3 linked regions of the Danio rerio genome follow. The protein of the gene in region 2 purifies or fractionates together with the protein of the main gene of each other region. This does not show direct contact. Links are inferred from orthologs where the notes say so. Each region holds a gene or a part of one and is shown on either strand. Other genes may lie near its edges.

Evidence for each region.
Region 1: the proteins of arih1 (region 2) and jun purify together in Homo sapiens (affinity purification with mass spectrometry; 3 studies listed by BioGRID and IntAct, counting the BioPlex papers as one, with this or other methods). This does not show direct contact. The link is inferred for Danio rerio from reciprocal best matches to the Homo sapiens genes ARIH1 and JUN.
Region 3: the proteins of arih1 (region 2) and rbx1 purify together in Homo sapiens (affinity purification with mass spectrometry; 3 studies listed by BioGRID and IntAct, with this or other methods). This does not show direct contact. The link is inferred for Danio rerio from reciprocal best matches to the Homo sapiens genes ARIH1 and RBX1.

The regions. Positions count from the first base shown.
Region 1 is NC_133195.1:16,777,130-16,783,944, reverse strand, and holds jun (transcription factor Jun), read right to left. Parts: upstream 4,071-6,815; 5' UTR 3,802-4,070; coding exon 2,875-3,801; 3' UTR 2,211-2,874; downstream 1-2,210. UniProt on the Homo sapiens protein: Transcription factor that recognizes and binds to the AP-1 consensus motif 5'-TGA[GC]TCA-3'.
Region 2 is NC_133193.1:20,274,357-20,280,872, reverse strand, and holds part of arih1 (E3 ubiquitin-protein ligase arih1), read right to left. Parts: intron 6,390-6,516; coding exon 6,323-6,389; intron 5,807-6,322; coding exon 5,700-5,806; intron 5,396-5,699; coding exon 5,353-5,395; intron 4,595-5,352; coding exon 4,523-4,594; intron 4,438-4,522; coding exon 4,307-4,437; intron 1-4,306. UniProt on the Homo sapiens protein: E3 ubiquitin-protein ligase, which catalyzes ubiquitination of target proteins together with ubiquitin-conjugating enzyme E2 UBE2L3.
Region 3 is NC_133178.1:23,847,020-23,854,088, forward strand, and holds the start of rbx1 (E3 ubiquitin-protein ligase RBX1), read right to left. Parts: upstream 4,334-7,069; 5' UTR 4,299-4,333; coding exon 4,221-4,298; intron 2,708-4,220; coding exon 2,629-2,707; intron 1,791-2,628; coding exon 1,720-1,790; intron 1,634-1,719; coding exon 1,548-1,633; intron 1-1,547. Other genes in the region: chadla (chondroadherin-like protein), read right to left, coding at 6,464-6,809. UniProt on the Homo sapiens protein: E3 ubiquitin ligase component of multiple cullin-RING-based E3 ubiquitin-protein ligase (CRLs) complexes which mediate the ubiquitination and subsequent proteasomal degradation of target proteins, including proteins involved in cell cycle progression, signal transduction, transcription and transcription-coupled nucleotide excision repair.

The sequences.
Region 1 (6,815 bases), on a different chromosome or scaffold from region 2:
ATAATGCCCAGGTCAATGATCAATCCCGTCCTTTCCGAAACTAAAAGTGTCCTGAAAGTCTGTTGGTGGGTCGGTCTTATGGAGATTAGTGTTAGGAGTTCCTCTTCCCGTAATACACGCCCACTACTGCAGATGACGTAGGTCTTCCGACCACGCGCTTGCCTAATATGGCTAGGTAGTGCCACTTTTCCGGTATGAGGTCATCGTTTGCCAAGTTTGGCCAGTGAAATAAGAGGATCTGAAAGATGCTAAATATTAATTCGTGTCGGTGACCTGAATATAAAATCAGACTTCTGATTGTGTATCATAACACACATCAAAAAGAAAGGAAGAAACAAAGAAAATAGTAATGCTGGTGCCATTTGTAAACAAAGATTTTGAATTTATTCGATAAACAAAGAGAGCATATCTTATATATTTTTTACATGTATGATATAATTTATTTCTTATGTAAGGTATAGACGTTATTGCACCTCTAATGCGTTCAATTGGAGGTGTTTTTTTTTCTCTCTAAGACAAAAGTTACTTTTTAAAGTGCTTATAAGAAACCAGGGGTTCAGATTGCAGAATTTAGTAGTGTCTTAAAAGCCCCAAAACACAATAGGAGAAAATGAAATCACATTATAAACTAGATTTCTGTCTGAGAGCCTGCTTTAAATTCACCAGGCGCAGGCCAATGGCGCCCTCTTCTGGTTCTACTGCTCAAACTGCTTCTCAAACACGGTCAGGGATATTGGTGTCGTACTATTTTACCACAATGCTAAGTGAATCATTGTCCTTTTTTGATAATTGTTGTTTCTTTCAAACAGATTTACTTAGACTACAGTCTAAGTTTATATCACTATTATGGGTAAAATTGTAAGTTCTAATTTTTTACATAATAGTTTACTAATTTTTTACAGCTTTTACATTTTACTGAAGTGCTTTTACTGAACACATTTTGCAAGCAAACATAAGAACGGACCCTTGAAAACATTTGTCTCTGCACACTGCAGACACAAATATGAGCCCATGACTAAAGGCATGCATAATACTACTTAAAGTTCACCCCAAAAAGTTCAATTCTGTCATTTATTTACAATTTAGTTACATGTTTCAAACGTTTATGAGTTTCTACAGTTGAACACAACATTTATTTTAAATAATGGTGGAAGCTGACAATCCTTACCTTTTACAGTATTTATTTTTCTATTGAAGTCAATAGTTACAGGTTTTCAGCTTTCTTCTAATATGAATAGTTCAGATGCAAAAATCTCTAAAAGCTGTTATAAATTTCTTAATTTTTTTATCAGTCTCTTGTATGTAGGTTCAGTATTTTCAAGTTTATGGCACAGAATATACTCTTTTGAAAGTCTTTAAAATTAAATATGTCGACAGAAACATAGGGGTCTGAATAAAATGCTGATTTTGATGAAAGTTTAAGATGGCATTTAGAGGTTTTGCATCTAAACTCTTTATATATTCATATTTTGCGTTGTTCAACAGAATAAGGAAACTTGTTAAGCTTTGAAACCACTTGAAGGCAAGTAATATAGTGAGTAAATAGCAAATAGTGAGTCAATTTCTTATTTTGGGGTGAACTATAATTTACAATGGGTGTTTATTATTTGCAGCATTATTTGCCTATAAATGTTAGTAAATCATTTTCATCAGTTTTAACATTTGATAGCCTAAATAACACACTATTGTTATAAGGAGTATTTTTAAATTTCAACCATTTATTAATTTAATATTAAGTCATTGTTGCTGGTTAAATTGTTAAAACTTGTATACATCTTCAACTTCTACAATTTTTTTTAACATATTTGCAGGCTAACACTAACCTTAATAAACTTTTGTTTCAGTTGACACAAAAATGAGGCCATGATTAAAGGCATTGGTCTATTTAGTACTTGACTGTGTGATAATTACTTGATAATTTCAGCATTACTGATTTAAAGAGTCAATCAAATTATGTGTCTGCTTTATTTTGATGTAAAAATGTTATATTAAGTTTGCATTTAACCTTTAGCAATTAAGCATGTATTTATAATGTTATTATTTTTAATTACTGTAAGGATGTTTTTTGACACCCTTTTTTCCCAGTCCTGTCTGTGGACTTTACAAAACAGCCAGTCTCTTCCAAAACATGTTATTACATGTTTGTCAATTTGAACACACACACACATACACACACAAGCGTCATTTCCATTAAGACAACAGAGACATTGTTTTTCATTTGACATACTTTATTACAGTTCATAAATATTGATTAGTTTCTGAGGTGCTCAGAAAACAAACATAAAAAATTATTGTACTTTACTTACAAATGGTAAACTTAAGTACTCCTGGTTGATCATATTTACAAATAACAATGAGTGAAACCTCATTAATGAACTTTTTTTTTAGAAAAAGAAACTGCTTAAGTTGGACTAACTCAAAAGGAAAAAAGTCGATTTCCGTTCAATTTAAGAACAACAAAAAAAGTACAATATGTAGCTCAGAAGTCAGGCAGCTTTTTTATCAAAAGTTTAGCAGACACAACGTCCTGCTTGGTGAGCCAGTATCCCTACTGTACGGCAGTCGCGTCTCTGTTTTACTCCTATAATACTGAGTGCTCCTTTGAAGCGTATAGGTCCATGCACAACCTGGTCGATGTGAACAAGGATTTCGTCAGAAAGTAAAACATGTAACAGAGTGAGTCTCATGCGCTCTGCGTCTCTGTCGGACCGAGTGAAGTTTTGCGCTCCTCAAAAGTCCAGTCGGATCATCCTTTAACGGCACGCGGCCGGCCGGACGGTCCCGGTCCCCGCGGGCTCTGTCGCGCCAGATCGCAGACATCAAGCCCCTGAAGTTTGTTTATGTGGCTGAACTCAAAATGTCCTTCGGCTCTCCTCAGAAGGTTTGCAGCTGTTGTGTCAACATGAGCTGGCAGCCGCTGTTGACGTGGTTCATGACTTTCTGCTTGAGCTGTGCCACTTGCTCGCGCAGCATGTTGGCGGTGGACGCGAGCTCCGAGTTTTGCGACTTCAGGGTCTTGACTTTGTCCTCCAGCCGGGAGATCCTCTCCAGTTTCCTCTTCCGGCATTTGGACGCGGCGATTCTGTTTCTCATGCGCTTCCTCTCGGCTTTAATCCGCTCCTGGCTCTCCATGTCGATAGGAGAGAGCGGTGGGGTCTCGCCGGGCATCTCGGGCACCGTTTGGGGCTCCTCTTTCAGGGCCTGGAGGCGCGGGTGCTGGACGGGCAGCTGCGGTGGTGCGCTCGGGAAGCTCATCGCGGCTGGATTGGCCGAGCTGCTGCTGATAGCAGGGTTGAACGTGTTCAGATCCGCGTAAACCGGCGGATCAGCGCGCATGGCTGAGCTGTAGACCGCACCGCCCGCTATGGACGAGACCGGTGCCATGCTGCTGTTGATAGTAGTTTGGGGAGCCGAGGTGACGTTGGGCATGTGCTGGTGGTGCAGCTCAGCCAGTGCCCTCACAAAGCCCTCCGCGAACCCCTCCTGCTCATCCGTCACGTTCTTGGGACACAGAAACTGGGTCGGAGTTGGCGTCGTGGTGATCATGCCGTTGCTAGACTGGATGATGAGCCTCTCCAGCTCCGGTGATGCCAGTTTGAGAAGTCCCACGTCGGGAGAAGTGAGGATATCGCTGGCTTTGGCCCTCAGGTGGGGCTTTAGGTTCCCCGCGGGGTCGGACAGATTGAGCGTCATGTTGTGTTTCAGAGCCTTGTGGTTGTATCCAAAAGTGGCGCTGTCATGCTGAGAGAAAGCGCTGTTTAGAGAGTCATCGTAGAAAGTAGTTTCCATCTTGGTAGACATAGAAGGCAAAGCGAAACTTTTAGTTCAGAAGCAGTCTTTTAGGCGCTGTTAAGCACTGTCCGCGTTCAGTAACGAGCGCTGCGGTGTTTGGAACAAAAGCGAGAGGATTGGAAAAGTTCCTCAACTCCCCGTCCCGCGAGAAACTTACTGCGTAAAGTTATCGCCAGTGTCACGGGCTCGTCTCCTCCTGCCTTCCGCGGATAGAAAGTTCTTCCTCCGCCGCTGTCGCGCTTCTCAGACACCAGCAGATAAACAGTGCTTAGCCGAAGGCTTATTTATGTTGGTTTGAGTGAGGTGTTTCACTGTGGCGAGGTCTGTATACTCTGAGCTTCTCCAGCGTGGAGGCAAACCTTATCTGCTACCGCTGCCCCACTAAAAATAGAAATGATGTAATGCGCGCAGCCTCTCATTGGCTGGAGGCGTTTTACTGGGCGTGTCACAATTTCAGATAAGGCGCGTTGCCTAGACGACCACCCAGAAGATTCTACTCGCGGTGCCTGATGGGATGAGGTAATGCTGTAAAGCAGTGCATTGTGGGATTACGTATTGTTTTTGAATATCTGGTTACCCGCTTAGCTGTTTTAGACCGTGGCGGGATACAAAGAAGCAGAGTAATGTACAACGCGCCACTTTTAGAACTTAAACTTTACTATAAGTTTGAGAAGAAGAGGCAGAATAAATGTGTGCCGCTGTATGTTTGAGAGTTGACCAATTCTTGCGCGAGTTTCGCAAGACGCGGCCATTCTTTAACAACAGCAAGTTCCAAACACTCTCTGGATCCAGTTTAATGTATTGCATATACATCAGTAAGGTAAAAAATATATATTAGAAATACAGTTTGGAGTCAGTGAAACTAATTTCCAACCTTACAATAAAATGTTGAGGGAGATTTAAAACGAAAAAAAAATAGAAGAAATGCCTTCTGAAATAATAAATTAAATAAGCATAACTTGATGTTACTCATTTTGTTTGAATATAATGTTAGATTAGCTGATTAAAAGTATTTTTTTTTAATCAGTCGTTGAAATATATTATGAATTAATTAGTATTTGCTAATTTTACTCTTCTTCACTTCCAGCACTCCCTTGTTGGCCCCCTGGGGGTCCCCGAACCCTAGTTTAAAAACCTCAGTGTTATACAGGCATACATAATTTAATCTGGCACGAAGAAACAGGGCTATAGTCTGCTTTTTTATGCCAAAGTGCATTTGCTCCGTCAGCCAATGGTCTAAAAATGGGGGCGTTTCTTATTGTGGAGTGACAGCGTGCCACAAAGTCCAGCCGCCGTATCCGTGACAGTCCCTAGAGATCCTCTCAAAAGTGCAAACAACCCTGTTAAACGTCACTGCGTCAACCACAACCACAAACTGATCGAATATAGCGTGACAGCTGACAAGTGACGTTTCAGTTTACTTTCTGAGATTTTTACTGACGTTGCTTAAACGTATGTAAAGACACAATAGCTAGTTTATTTGTATTTATAACAACATTAGTAAGATAAATATACAGGTAATGTTGAGATGGACATTTGCAAGAATGGTCGTTTTTATTATTGTTTATTTTATTAATTAGTTTTTGTTATGAGTACATTAAAATATGGTTGATTCTACTGTTTTATAGCATATAGGTCAAAGTAAAGAGAAGACAGTTTTTTTGTGTTACTGTTACTCTAGCACTTATTGATGGTCTCTGACATGTTTCACTTTGTTACAACAGATCAAACACTCGAGCACAGTGCCACTGGATACAAAATATGGACTTTATACACTGTTTAACAACCTATTTATCTTGTGATGATCATCAGTGGTATTTCTATCACTTTTCTCATATATATATATATATATATATATATATATATATATATATATATATATATATATATATATATATATATATATATATATATATACACAATATAAAATATTTGTTATATATATATATATATAACAAATGCACAAAAATCAAATCCCAATACTTAATTATTTATTAATACTTTTAAAACAAATGATTGTTATTATCATACACATTAAAATCATCTAAGATCTGGCTTTTTTATGGATTATGCAATATTTACTGGAAGCCTAATTGGAATTTCTATTGGATTTTTATCATTCATAGTTCAAGTGCACAAAGGTCATACGAGGGTTTTATTGTAAATTAAAGGTCATGACCAGATTGAGGCCTCCAGCATCCTCTTTCTGATCACCGCAGTTGTCTGCATCACCGGTTCAGGCAGCAGGGGATGTCCAGAGTTACAACAGAGAGAAGTCAACCCTGTTTCTGTACTAGCCAGAAACTTGTTTGGGCAGCACAACCCAGACCAAACGTAGAAAATGGCAGCTTGCCAATGAAACTAGTTCCTCACGCTGCGACGGCTTGCTTCTTTCCTTATTTAGCTTTCCTCGTGTTCTCATGTCACCTTTCCTACTGGTGTACTTTGTTACGTGTTTGGCCGTTACGAAATCTAGGTGTACATTTCCTTTTATGCCACATGTTGTGTGCAGTGTCATCCAGCCTGTACAGTTGAGCTTAAAGTGACAGCTCATCGTTACCACAACATTACACTTTTAAAGTGAGACAATAAACTCTAATACATTTTTCTTTATTTATTTTTTATATATTTGTGTAGGTATATTCGAGAATGTGAATGTTTGTCACTATTAGATATTTGTTTCATGTGTGCAATATTATCCATTCCGTATAATTGAACTTAAAGCGACAGCTCATCATTACCACAACATCACAGTTTTACAGTGACAGTAAGCTCTAATCATTTTTTTATTTGTATATACATATGTAAAAATATATGTGAATGTTTATGTCACTATTAGATATGTTTTATGTGCATAGTTTCAAGCTAAAGGCAACAGCTCATCCTTATCACAACACAGTTCTACAGTGTGACAGTAAACCCTTATATATATATATATATATATATATATATATATATATATATATATATATTTATATATATATATATATATATATATATATATATATATATATATATATATA
Region 2 (6,516 bases):
AAGTGGACATGAAATTTGTAAAGTTTAATGTCTTTCTGTTGTATTCATATAGTGTATTACCTCCGAAATAAATTAAAACAATAAAAATCAAAGAAAAAAGCCGCGCGGCATCAACAGAGCTATGAATGGAGCGCTCTTTCCTCTGTCTCACACATATACACAGGCATCTAAACGCGCAAAAACACACTTATTAAACTTGACAAAACCTCTTGAAAACCTTTTCTGTCTGCTGTGTCTTTAATATGGTGTAAAGATTATTATGCGTTATTGAAACATCAAAGAGATGCAGCAAAGAAAAGTCACTTATAAAAACTATCATTTTATGCAACAGCCTTGCATTTAAAAGAGAAACATAAGGGCGATCATATGCAAAAAAGACCCCAGCCTATAATTTGTTCCAAATGTTTTCTTTCCCTTATTTATTTATTCATTTATTTGTTTATGTGTTTGGCGCATGTACTCGTGTGCGATCGGAAAACTGTGCCCGCCTCTCCTTTCACTCCGCCCCGAAGCCCCGGCTGGCCCTCTTTGGCCCAAGGTATTCGGCGGGCCGAAAAAGGCCGGCTGCTGGCCCCAAGAAAGCCCCGCTTTGGCCTGATTAGGCCCCGGAAGTGACAGTGGAAACGCCACTGGCCTTGGCTCGCTCGCTTTAGGCGCGATAGTGGAAACACGGCTGTGGTGTATCTACAACAGGTGCGAGTTGGGCTAGGAGATAAAGTGCTAACAATAATATAGCTTTTCCTCGATTAGACAAGAACACCTGCTTGATAAATGTTCAATATAATGTGTATACTTCATAGCGAAACCAAACACTTTTTGACACAAAATGTGCATCTTTTAAATTGAATGGCATCCAACAGCAGCACAAAGCTAGTTTAAGTTTATTTACGAGTGGATAGCTGTAAAATTGATCACTGGAGCAGCTCTGAAGAGAAGCGATTGAATTTGGTGAAGAACACAAATGTCTCTGTGATTTAAAGCCGCGTGAAACAATGCTGAAAGACAGGAGAAACACTACCGTGAATGATCCTGTTAGATGGATGGATTTATTGTAGTAACAGTAACTGCATCATTCTATTGCAGCAGGATAGGGAGATATACACATGAGATGTATTATTATGTCAAGGCGTATTAAATGTGTTAAAGTTGTAAAGAAATATAATGACAGTAATTCTTATTATTAAGCTTTTGCCATAGTTGATTTGTATTTACTCCAGTTTTTAATGCCAGCTATTTAGGATAGTATTTTTCATACCATTATCATATGAAACCACACAATTAGTCTGTGATTCAGCTAAACATTTAAACAATCATCAGAGATGTTGTTACTGAATATTGATACCATGAATTATAATTATATTAACCTCTTTCTCTGTTAAGATATATACTACCAAAAGATTAAAGTTTACTCAACAAATGTTTAAATAACTACTGAACATCAGATCTTTGAAATGCTCATTTGTTCAAAAAATGTTTGTTGTGATAGTAAATAATTACTTAACCCTTGTGTGTTGTTGGGGATGTTTTCATATACTCTGGGGTGATTTTGAGTCTTAATTTGGCCAAAGCTTTCTTTGTGTTTCAGTAAATTGAATGATTTTTCGTGAAAAATCCTATTTTTACACATATTTTGGGAAAATGCTTTATAGTTTGTCAAAAATATTTGATTGCAAAACTATGACACCATATAATCATGCAGTTTTATTGTTGCTGATTTTCCCTGTTGGGTAAAGGTAAGTTGCAATGCAAAAAAAGCTAGTTTCTGCCTTTTATATGGAGTATAGTGTGAGTGTGAATATGTGTGTGAGAGAGACCTTTATGCACTTATATTAATGTGTCTGAGAAAAAAATAAATAAAAAAAGCACCTCAGCTGTCAGAACATGATAAACATAGTAAGTGTATTCTACTTATGCACGCACGCACGCACGCACGCACGCACGCGCGCGCGCACACACACACACACACACACACACACACACACACACACACACACACACACACACACACACACACACACACACACACACACACACACACACAATAATTTGCTGTTTTACTCAATAGAAAGCTATATAAAAGACAGAAACTTTTTTGCATAAGTCTAAGTAAGGGGTTTTTGCTGGCAACTGATGTTCAACGCTAAAAATATATAAATATATTTGGTCTTTTCCCAACAGGAATGCATTATTATATGCTGTCATAAAAAGGATCATTATAATGAAAGTCAATGTGGCAAAAACAGCCACGAACATAACAAAAGTGTAGTAAATTTGATCCATTTACCATTTGATTTTTTACAACTTCCACACAGGAGTAAAAATTTGCTTTAAACTTTCAAAAGATATGGAGGTACAACATTTGTTCTGATAATTCTCTACATCGACCAAAAGGATTTTTTTTGCCCATCTCACCCATCTCTCAGATTAAGAACAGAGCAAATCCACTAGATGGTGCTGTGCATGTGTATGTTTGAGTTTACTTTGAAAGCTTTGAAAACACAAAGCTTATGCATGAAACAAAAAAAAAAGAATACCTTGGCCATTATTTATATTAGCTAATAATGTTTCAGACGTCAGTGCACAAATGTAAAATTTCAACAAAAACGGTTTACAAACATATCACAGAACTTTATACTGGCTGATTTTCAGAGGTCCCTAATCGAATGAGTCATTCTTGATTTTTATAAGTGATGTTTGTAAGGGATCTGTAAACATATGACTGCATGGAACGAAGAGGAGGAGAAAGCTAGCCTTTGAGCTCTCGGGTTTAAGTGCAGCCTGTTGATCATATGTATACGCTGCCTTGGGAGAAGGTAGTAGAGGAGCATACTAGTTCATCTGAGAGATAGTTTGGGGAATTCAGTCACATTTGCCTGCTTTCTTGATCGTTTAAGGTGTATCTAATTCAAAAATAAAAAAATTAAAAAACACTGCCAGATGATCAACAACACTCCTGCTAGTGGGAATTAATAATATTACAAGAGAGAACAAACATTTAAAAACTTAATATTGAATATTTTTCTGCCTTAAGAATTCCACCTTTTGCTTTTGTAGGTTACCAGCATCACCAGCTGTCTTTTATTTGTTTTATAGGTACAGTTCTTTAATAAGCTAAGACTGCTTCTTATGGAGGGCTTGTTTTAAACAATAGTTCTATTTAAAGTTGATAAATGATAAATAGTTGAATAGTTATATTCAAAGCTGTGACAAACAATCTTATTTATTTTTTATTACTGTTTTTTTAAATGCATCATAATTCTGATCAATGTATAAAAAAACTTGAACAAAAAAAGGTCTATCATACATATTAAATTATATATAAAATAAATTATTTGATGGTAAATAAATGGTGTACCATTATTATACATTACTCATTTATAACATATTTTAATCTGTTTTTAATCGAATTAAATTTTTTGAATGATTTTTATTTTCTTGTTTCTGTTAGTCTTGTTTATGTAAAAGCACTTTGATTTACCATCGTGTATGAAATATGCCATAAATAAACTTTTCGTGCCTTTTTCATTAATCTGTCATATTATAATCTATACATTAGTTCTTTTCTTTCTTAGGACCTTTTTTTTTGTTTAGTTTTTTTGAGTATGTCCTTTCAGAGAAAAAAAAGCACAGGTAAAAATATGGCAAAACAAATCAATATGCGCTTTATATTAAATAAATGATCAATATGCAATTAAAAATATCTGTGCATGAAAAGCAAGTCACCTATCTCTCTGTCACAACAAGATCTCTTTAGTGGAGCATTCTTTAGCTTGAATAGTTAGATGCACAGAATTATATTATACTATCTATATTTAAAAAACAACATCACATATCTAAACATATTCAGCTAATAAAAATCTGATGTATAGCAATATGGTAGATCTGTGCATCAGGTCTTGAAATAAACCTGAGAATCATTAATGTTAATAAACCAAAAAAGAAAACACGCTTATTTGATTTGCATTATTTTTTTGCACTGGTTCAACCATTTGTTATTTGCTATTTGTAATCATATTTACTTGTCAGAAACATAAAAAATAACTAAATTGTGGTTATTAACATAGCAATTTTTAATAAATGAATTGATGCATAATTTTAAAAATCAAACCAATACACTGAATTTGTGACACTTGTAAGTAATCACACCTGTAGCTTGATTTAAGTAGCTTTCTGTAACATCTGGCATTGCTTCACTTGGAGCTTATATTAAATAAATATGAGTTAAAGGTTTAGAACACAGACAGAGGATGGCCCTACTAGCTGAAAAAAGCATTAAACCAACAAAACAATAAAAACCCAGACTTACCACGCAGAACCATGTGGCTCCCAGGGGCCCAGACAGACCCAGCAAAACTCTGCTTTGCAGTTCTGGTTTCGGCACACCATATGGTTACAGCCACCATCTTTCTCTATGGTGACGTGGCATTTCGGACATTCCTGAAACACAAACATTTTGACCATTAATCTTCATTGAATGATGAAGGGAAGTGTCCACCACATTAAAGTGAGCTTAATCACTAACCTTTGTATTGGCTGCAATCCAGTTCGATGTCTCACTGTCATCGTCACATTTTTTAATCCATTTTCTTAACCACTGAGAAAAAAAAACAATTGAATAAATAATTTTACTGCAATAATTTGAGATACTAAAGTGATGTATTCATGACACAGAATATTACATCAAGATATAAGCGGAGTATCAACAGTGCTTATGAAGGGTTAAATGGTCTCTCTCAGTGGAAGATGATTGTAATCCCCATATGAGAAGCATAAGGGACTTGAAGCTTCCTTTGTTTTTGCCAAGACTACCCCCACAATAACAAGATGAGTCTCTGAAGAGCCTCTTAATGCTGAGAGCAGAAGAGGTGGCAGTCTGCTAGCTTTCTTTGTTCAGACAGAGAACACTTGTTTTCAAATCAACATGCTTTATAGTAAAATTTCTATGCTAAAAACTTTTTTCATCAGTGCTGTCAATTAAATGGCACTAAAATGGGGTTTCTACTAATACAACAATACAAAAATATTAGGTTGTGCACATTTAGGCCTTGGCATTCAAAATAAATAAGAGTATTTATGGAAGAGTATAATACAGTTTTGTGTGGCAGACATAACGGCCAAAACAGTGCTAAACAATAAAGACCACACATGGCACTGTTGACAATAAAATGTTCAAAAAAATGATGTTTATGTTTAAACACTAACCACAGTGTTGTGCAATTCAAGTTGTAGATGCAGATTTTAACCCTTGTGCATCCATACAGAAATTTTTGCCTTTTTCATTATTTTTTGTGACCGCTTAATGCAGTTAATGGAAATGGCTCAAAAGTTAACCACAACAAGGCCTTAACATACCTTACACTTCACTGGATCATGCCAATTCTCCCCACAGTTGAAGCTGCAAAATAATTAAAAGCCTATCAGCTGTATAAACATTATATTTGTTTTGTCATTCTAAATATGTAAAATTACATGGAAAGAAAACATGCACAAGGACTAGTGACTCTGATGCTAATGATTCTTTGCTTCCCAAATGAACAGGTAGCTGTAATGTCTGGATCAGATTACCGGTGGCGTTAAGGGAATGTGTCTCATGAGTTCTTGTGTTACTGGGTGGATCAGGCCTTCCCTGAGCTGGTGGAAGCCCTAAACCTGATCTGAGGTCAGAAGCATCTGATCTCATTAGCGGTTCAGTGTCTTACCAAAACTGTCGTCCACACTTGCATCTTACAGGTTTGGCATCTGGGTACTGTACTTTGACAACATGATGACAGTCGGGCGCAGGACACCATTTTAACAGTCGGTTACACTGCAGAAGAACAGATCAGATTTCATTTCAGCTTTCATATCTGAAGATTTGTGTCATAGAACGTTATTTAATAAATGTCTTGAGTAATTAAAAACAAGGAGACTATCAATTAAAAAATCTTAAACAAAAAACAATCCACTTTTTTAGAAATAGACTCATTTTACAAGTCCCCTAAAGTTTAACAGAATTTTACCATTTTACTTAGTCCTTTCAGCTGATTTCTGGCAGGAGCACATTTAGCTTAGCATAAATCACTGAATTGGATTAGACAGTGAGCATTTCGCTCAAAAAGTTTGGACCATTTTTCTACTTAAAGCTTGATACTTCTGGATTTCCATTGTGTACTAAGACTGAATTTTTTTGAGCAAGATGCTAATGGTCTAATCCGATTCAATGATTTATGCTAAGATAAGATAAAAGCGGCAGTTTTTAAATGAGCCTATTAACAAAGGGTGTATTCATTTTCAGTAAACACAAGAGTACACAATGCAATAATATCATGAAATGAAGTATTACCTCTACAAAACTATTGGTTATTAAATGCTGGTACTTCAACTTCACTTTTGAATCTGTAATCAGTCTCCTGTGAAAAGAACGGAGAGTTTAAAAAATAGGATTTAATAAACTTATAAAAGATTAGGATTTAATAATCACCCAAATACAACCACATATGTTTCTAAATACAATATTTATTCATTATAAGCTACGAG
Region 3 (7,069 bases), on a different chromosome or scaffold from region 2:
CATTCACTTTCAGAAATCTATTTTATACAGTGGCCTGTTGAGCAAATCATTTCCTACATGTTTTCTGTAGGAAAATCTAATCTACAATTATAATGATGTGCTTGTTTGGCATTGTACTGGTTTCATCAGACATTGTTTTCTATGCTTTATTGAGTTGTAAGTATTTACAGCTTTAGATGTACATCAGATTAACACTCAAAATCACCATTGTCTGTGGATAAAAAGTGTTGAATAAATGTAGAGAAATACTTCATTAGCCATTCATTAAGACATTAGAAAGCAATGCAAATGGTGTACACCCCACATCTAGTGAATATGGAGCAATTTCAGACACGGCTCCTGTCTTAATGGAATAGTTCATGCAAAAATGAAAATGTGTTATCCTCTACTTTTAGCCCCGTTTGAGTTTCTTTTTTCCGCTGAAAACAAAAGAAGCTTTACTGATAAATGTTGGTGGAAAGCAGCCATTGACTTCCATAGTGTTTTTTATTTTATTTTTGTTCATACTATAGATGTAAATGCTTGTTTTTTCCCCTAAATTCTTCAGATTATCTTGTTTGTATCGAGAAGAAGAAAGAAAAACTAATTTAAGTGTAGAACCACTTGAGTGTGGGGAAACAGAGGAAATTTTAAATCAGTGAGAAAGTTTATCAGGCCCACTGTTCATTCACTGTTTGGGCAGTTGGCCAGAGCTGCACTCCAATTTGGGCTTTAGGTTTTGTTTTGCATCCATGCACTAGCGCTGACAACAATCATTCACTTGCTTTTCACACTGATTGAACATACAGATACTGCTGTTTTGATTTGTTATTTACAATTGTGTTAGGATAAATATTATTTTGGACTTTATTTCACTGTGTCGTCTCCCCTAATGCTACATCTTTGAGCCAAGTGTAACAAAGCAGCTGATAGGTTTAGAAATCTGTGCTAATGAATGGATCATTGCATCACTTAAATGATTCATTCAAAAATAGATTCATTCAGGAATGAAACTAAACTGTTTAGTTTGTTTTAAATATTGTCTGCTGTGGTACAGGAAATAAAGTACAATACTGCATCTAAAATATAGCTGACTCATTAACTTACATTACATATTCAAATCTTCTGACTCTACAATGGAAGATTGGAAGAACAATGCTTTAAATCTATTTTTTATGTTTTGTGCCAAGTAGCTGTATAATAAGTGGAATAAAGTACAACCAGGCAGGCATCATCACAGAATAAAGCCTTTAATCCACAAAGAATGTTGGGCTTGATTCTGTGATAACCGTCTGGATGTACTTTATCCCTTACATCATAGGTCTCCAACTCAATTCCTGGAGGGATTCCACAGATTTGCTCCAACCATAATCAAACACAGCTGATCCATATAATTAAGGTTCAAGACTACTCTTGAACACTTTCATTAGTTGGATTAGCTGTGTTTAAATAGGGTTGGAGCAAAACTGTGCAGAGCTGCGGCTCTCCAGGAATTGAGTTTGAGACCTATCCCTTACACGAAGCTTGTGAATTTGACTTGATTTGAATGAAGAATCAAAAAGACTTACTTCTGAAACTCCCACTCTCTGTTGTCCAGTGGACACACTTGTCTGGTCTTCAGCCAGCGGGAGATGCAGTGGAAATGAAAAGCGTGCTGCAGACACACACAAAAACAAACACACCAGCATTACACCAGCACCAAACAAACCCAGAGCTCAAAGTGTGTGTGATTATACTCACATTGCAGACTCCCCAGGCCACCGTACACTCCTCTGAGGTGGCAGACGCCTGATTGGCCTGACACTCAATACCTGAAGCAAACACAAGAGTTACAGATCAGCTACAGCTCATCTAGACCAGTGGTTCCCACAGTGGGGGTTAAACTTTGACACCTTTACAGCTTTCACATACATTAAAAATAATACAGGCTACAACAGAACATGGAGCAAGCTCTCACAGTGGCAATCTCTAAAATTAAACAATGAATAGATTTGGGCCTACTGGTATGTGTGCAAGGTTTAAATATTCATCACCACCTTAGAGAATATTGGGGGGTCGTGAGTAGGCATGGGCCAGTATAAGATTCTGACGGTATGATTACCTCGGAAATAAATTTCACAGTATCACAGTATTGAGTACCTCACAGTATTGAGTATTTCACAGTATCACAGTATTGAGATAACTGCTCTAAAATATAATCTTTTTAAATATCTGGGTACAAAACAAAACCCTTTTCCCCTTTGTACACACTATATGTAAATTTGGGAAACATATAAAATGTTTTGGAGAAGTAAACATGTCAGGCTAAATAATTCTAATGAATTATTGACTTCTGCTGTCTTCATTTGTTTTAAAAAAATCTGATTATTTTTACAATTTAAAAATGGCATCTTTGGATATCTTTTCTGGAGATACTACTGTCCTAAAAATAAAAAGTAAAAAAAAGATCGAACTCATACCTTAGGAACGGTATAGGAGAAAATTTTGAAGGCTTTAAAACCTTGACCTTTCCAAACCTTGATATACATTGAACACGGTTTTCATCCCACGGCTAGGCGCGAGTCACTGGCATTGTTATTTTGGGGGTCGTGGGCTGAAAACACCTGATCTAGACTAAACCTAAAAGACTAAAGCAGCTGTTATACTTACAGAGGTCCATAATGTGATTTCTGCAGATGGCACAGTTGTCCACTACAATGTCCCATGCCCACAGAGCCACAGCGTTCCACTGCAAGACAAGCAGAGTTTATAATCATAATCTTTATTAAAAATGCTAACAGCACCTTTTCTCTTAATGACACATGTACAGACACAAACTAAGCCTAAATATCCTCCACCAATGAGCAGCGCTTCCACTCAGTTATACATCATAATGAGGAAGAAAAGAAGCCAGCAGCCATAACATTTGTAAAGGAACATAGTGAAAATAAGTTGTGAAAACAGTATGCGAGTACAGTATGAAAACTTATTTTAAAAACATTTTTTAAAAAGTATATCTAAATTCAAACCGTTCACGGTGATCGTTTTGAATCCAGATTACAAATTGGTAATCTGGAAACCAACTACAATATTCCACAAAAAATATACATTCAGAAAGGGTTTATGATGCCTGAAACTGTTGGAATTGAACATTGAGAATGAGCTTGCAACGCCTCACACTGTTGGAAACAAATATTTGAAACAAGTTTGCAATACTAGAAACTGTTAAAAATCAAGCATTTGGAGGGTGTTTTCAATGGCTGACATTGTTGAAATCAATATGAAAATGAAATGGAGTAACATTAGGTATAATATCTGTCTATAACACAGGTGTCAAACTCCAAAAGGGTCAAGTTCCAAAAGGGCCGCAGCTCTGCACAGTTTAGTTCCAACCCTAATTAAACACACCTGATCAAACTAATAGAGTCCTTCAGGCTTGTTTGAAACCTACAGGTAAGTGTGTTGGAGCAGGGTTGGAACTAAACTGTGCAGGGCTGCGGCCCTCCAGGAATTGAGTTTGACACCCCTGGTCTATAACATTCAAACATGTCCGTACCTAGCTTTTAAAAAGGATGCACACAAGTCAAAATTTACTTAAGTAATAAGTATAACATAATTTATTGTACATTGTATACACTTATAGAATGTTCAATTCCGTGTGTAATATGTGAAATTCACTAAAATGTTTGCATCGAACTTTGAGGGGGGTAAATGTGTTTAAATGGAATGTTCGGAATGTCACTATGGTGACTAAAAGTGATGGAAACGAACGTTGGGAACATGTAAATGACGTCTACCGATAATCGAATAGAGCGTTCGGAATGCGTCTATGAACCTCAAACGGTTAGAATCGAATGTGCTGTAAGCGGCTGCAGTGTCCACAAATCTTGCCTAAAAAACTCGCCAAGGTCTGGGAATGATCAGCGCTGTATTTCGTTCTTTAGTGGCCTACTTCAATAATCTCTGGGATTACGCTGCAGAATTTATCGGAGTTCAAATAAGAAGCACATTGGGCGAGCATGTAACATATTTTTGCTTGACATTAGCTTGTACTCATTTTTGTGACACTTTATGAGGTTTTTGTAAACATGAAAAGCATAGAGGCCGGTGATTAAAATGATGATGTGAAAGAGCAGCGCGGCTAATGCTAACTGGGTTTAACACACCGCGGTGAAAGAGTGTTATTTTAATTTTAAAGAGACTAAACGGATGTGAACAAACAGTTGACAGCAATCATTAACGTGAACTTCACAATTACTTACCTTTTTCACTTCAAATCGCTTTTTACTGGCTCCGCTGTTAGCTCCACTTGGGGTGTCCACATCCATCGCGGCCGCCATGTTTGCTAATGTCTGATGATCTCGCGAGAAAGAGTGAGAGTGAACAGCTACTCGGTTTATAATCTTTTACATGTAAACGTGTGAATTAAAGCAATTGTGTATACTATGATGTTTTTAATATCATTCATATATTTTTTTTTATTCCAGTTTAATCAGACACAATCTAGTCCAAATTACAGTCGAGTTAAAAGATTAGGTTCCACCGAGATTTGAACTCGGATCGCTGGATTCAGAGTCCAGAGTGCTAACCATTACACCATGGAACCTGTTGGAAGCTAAGGCCCACTGTTTCCAGATTTGTACCATCTACAATACCCTACCACTATTATAAACTACATTGTCGGAATCCTGCATATTATATAATTATGACCGTGTTCAACATACATCAAATCAGTGCAGTGCAAGTGCAGAGCTTTGAAATGATACAGGAGATTACATGTTACCAGGATTTACAGATAACATTAAATGCCATCTATATATTTTTTTATTTCACATATTCATATTTGCTTTTTTTTGACAAGTTTTGCGAACAGCTACCATGTAGACTTATGTAAACTATACACAATTCGTAGTTTTTCCACTATTTTACACATTTGTTTACATATAAAGTGACGTTACTGGAATGCTCAACCGACTTAACATGTAATATCATACAGTTAAGTGCGTGACAAATATATATATATATATATATATATATATATATATATATATATATATATATATATATATATATATATATATATATATATATACATATACATATACATACTAACACACACACAAACACACACACACACAAAAGCATATAACGTTACACAAGTATTTTCAGAGGCCCCAAAACACTATTGTTGTGTGGATGCATTAAAATTGCACAAATTTTGATTCAACAAAGATTCAACCAAAGAATTACCTGTAAACAAATCTGCAGAGCTACTACCACATAGTAGCTAGCTAATAATTGTATTGTTTAAACAAAAAAACACACATGTACGACTACTTAATCCTAACAATATAGTCATCAATATGTATATATTTATCGTTATCTCTTAGTGTGGGCAAGCCAGCATAAGCAGTTAAAGCATTTAAAGACAATAGTTACTTAAGAAAAAATATGATCTACAGACTTCACACAGCCTCCATTTTAAAAGCGAAAGAGAGTCTGCAGTGGAAATAAACCTGGAAGTAACGCCTGGAGTCACACAGGAACGGCATCCAAGATGGCGTATTGTTGTGTACCTGGATTTATATCTTATCAGTGAACACAAATTTATAATTTCACCACTTTCCGAGTGACCCGAAGGTCCTTTCTGAATGCATGGTGAAAATAAAAAGGCATATCGGACCTTATTTTCCCCTAAGTTAAGGGAAATGGCACTAGTTAGCAAATGTTTTCTTTCCACCAGTGCTTAACAGAAATGACTGTGATTGGTCGTAAAGGTCATCAGTTCACTGCACTTCACCAATGTTTACAGAATGCAAACGCAGACAAGCGATCTGCTGATGACTTGACTGAACTTTAAAACGCTCCAGTGTCCGTGTATCTGTGTTTGCACTTGTGAAGAGAGGTAAACTGATGACAATCACCGCCGATAACAGTAATTTCACCGCAGATCAGCGGAGTTTAAAAACGTGCTCAACGGCGCTTAAATGCTAGCATGTTAAATGTTAGTTTTTTAAATTTCAGTACCGGGACAACAATATTACTGACAACACAATGGTGTGCTAGAGAGGACTGCATTGTTTTATCGCTCACCGGGTTACATTGGCTGAAGCAGGTAAGCGTCCCCGCAGTGTTTACCTGGTTCCATAAACTGAAGCCTAGTAAGACACTTAAGCGTATAACTTTAAAAGAGATTGTGGTTTTGTTTGAGGCCTAATGTGCTTTTTTTTGTTAAATTAAACTTAACTGAATGTTTACTCCACATCTACACTTTGAAATCGTGGAAACAGCAAGAGGTTTGTACTCCACAGCATGTTGTGGAGTACATGTTTAACGTGCTGATCCTATTCCTCTGGGTTTCTTCCCACCGCAGCCTCGCTTTCGCTTTCATTTTTAAAAAATGGGGGCATATGGACTCGTGCACTGGATTACCCGTAAACAAATCAGCAGCACTACTACCCCTTAGTATGATATCTATATCGTTTAAATCAAGAAATCCTATTGCTCATATCATTGGCAACTTCATTTTTGGTCGTCTTCTTTTTTTCTTGTTTGGCCTGGTCATTTTCAGAGCTCGCTCTGGTTTGAATTCTTTAGATTTGGTTTTCTTTGGTGTCGCAGCTATCTTTGTCTTTGCCAGTTTCAGTTTAGCATAAGATGGTTCTGTGGGCTGTGTGGGGTTGGGTATGTTGGGTTCATGGGCTTTGGTTGGGATGGAGGTCTCATTAAAGGAATGAGCATTTTCTATAGAGCAGTTCTTATAGATGGCAGACTCCATTACAGACTGACCTCGAAGCTCGGAGGGGTAAAAGCACACCGCCTCAACCCTCAGACTCATCTTCTCCAACCATCTGAAAGAAAGTTGAGATACATGCTTACATGCCTAAGTACTTAGTGATGAATGTTTATTTTGAAAGGCTTATTTACCTACTACTGATAATTACAGAAAATTCAAGATTACAAAATCAAACAATATAAAAAAACAGATAAAACAGGGCTATTTGACTGTGTTAATTGAATAGGAAACATATAAACATTAGTTTTATGTCTATTTTTTTTGCTATGGTAGGAACGAAATTGTCGCCACATATTCCTACAGTAAGAAAGTATA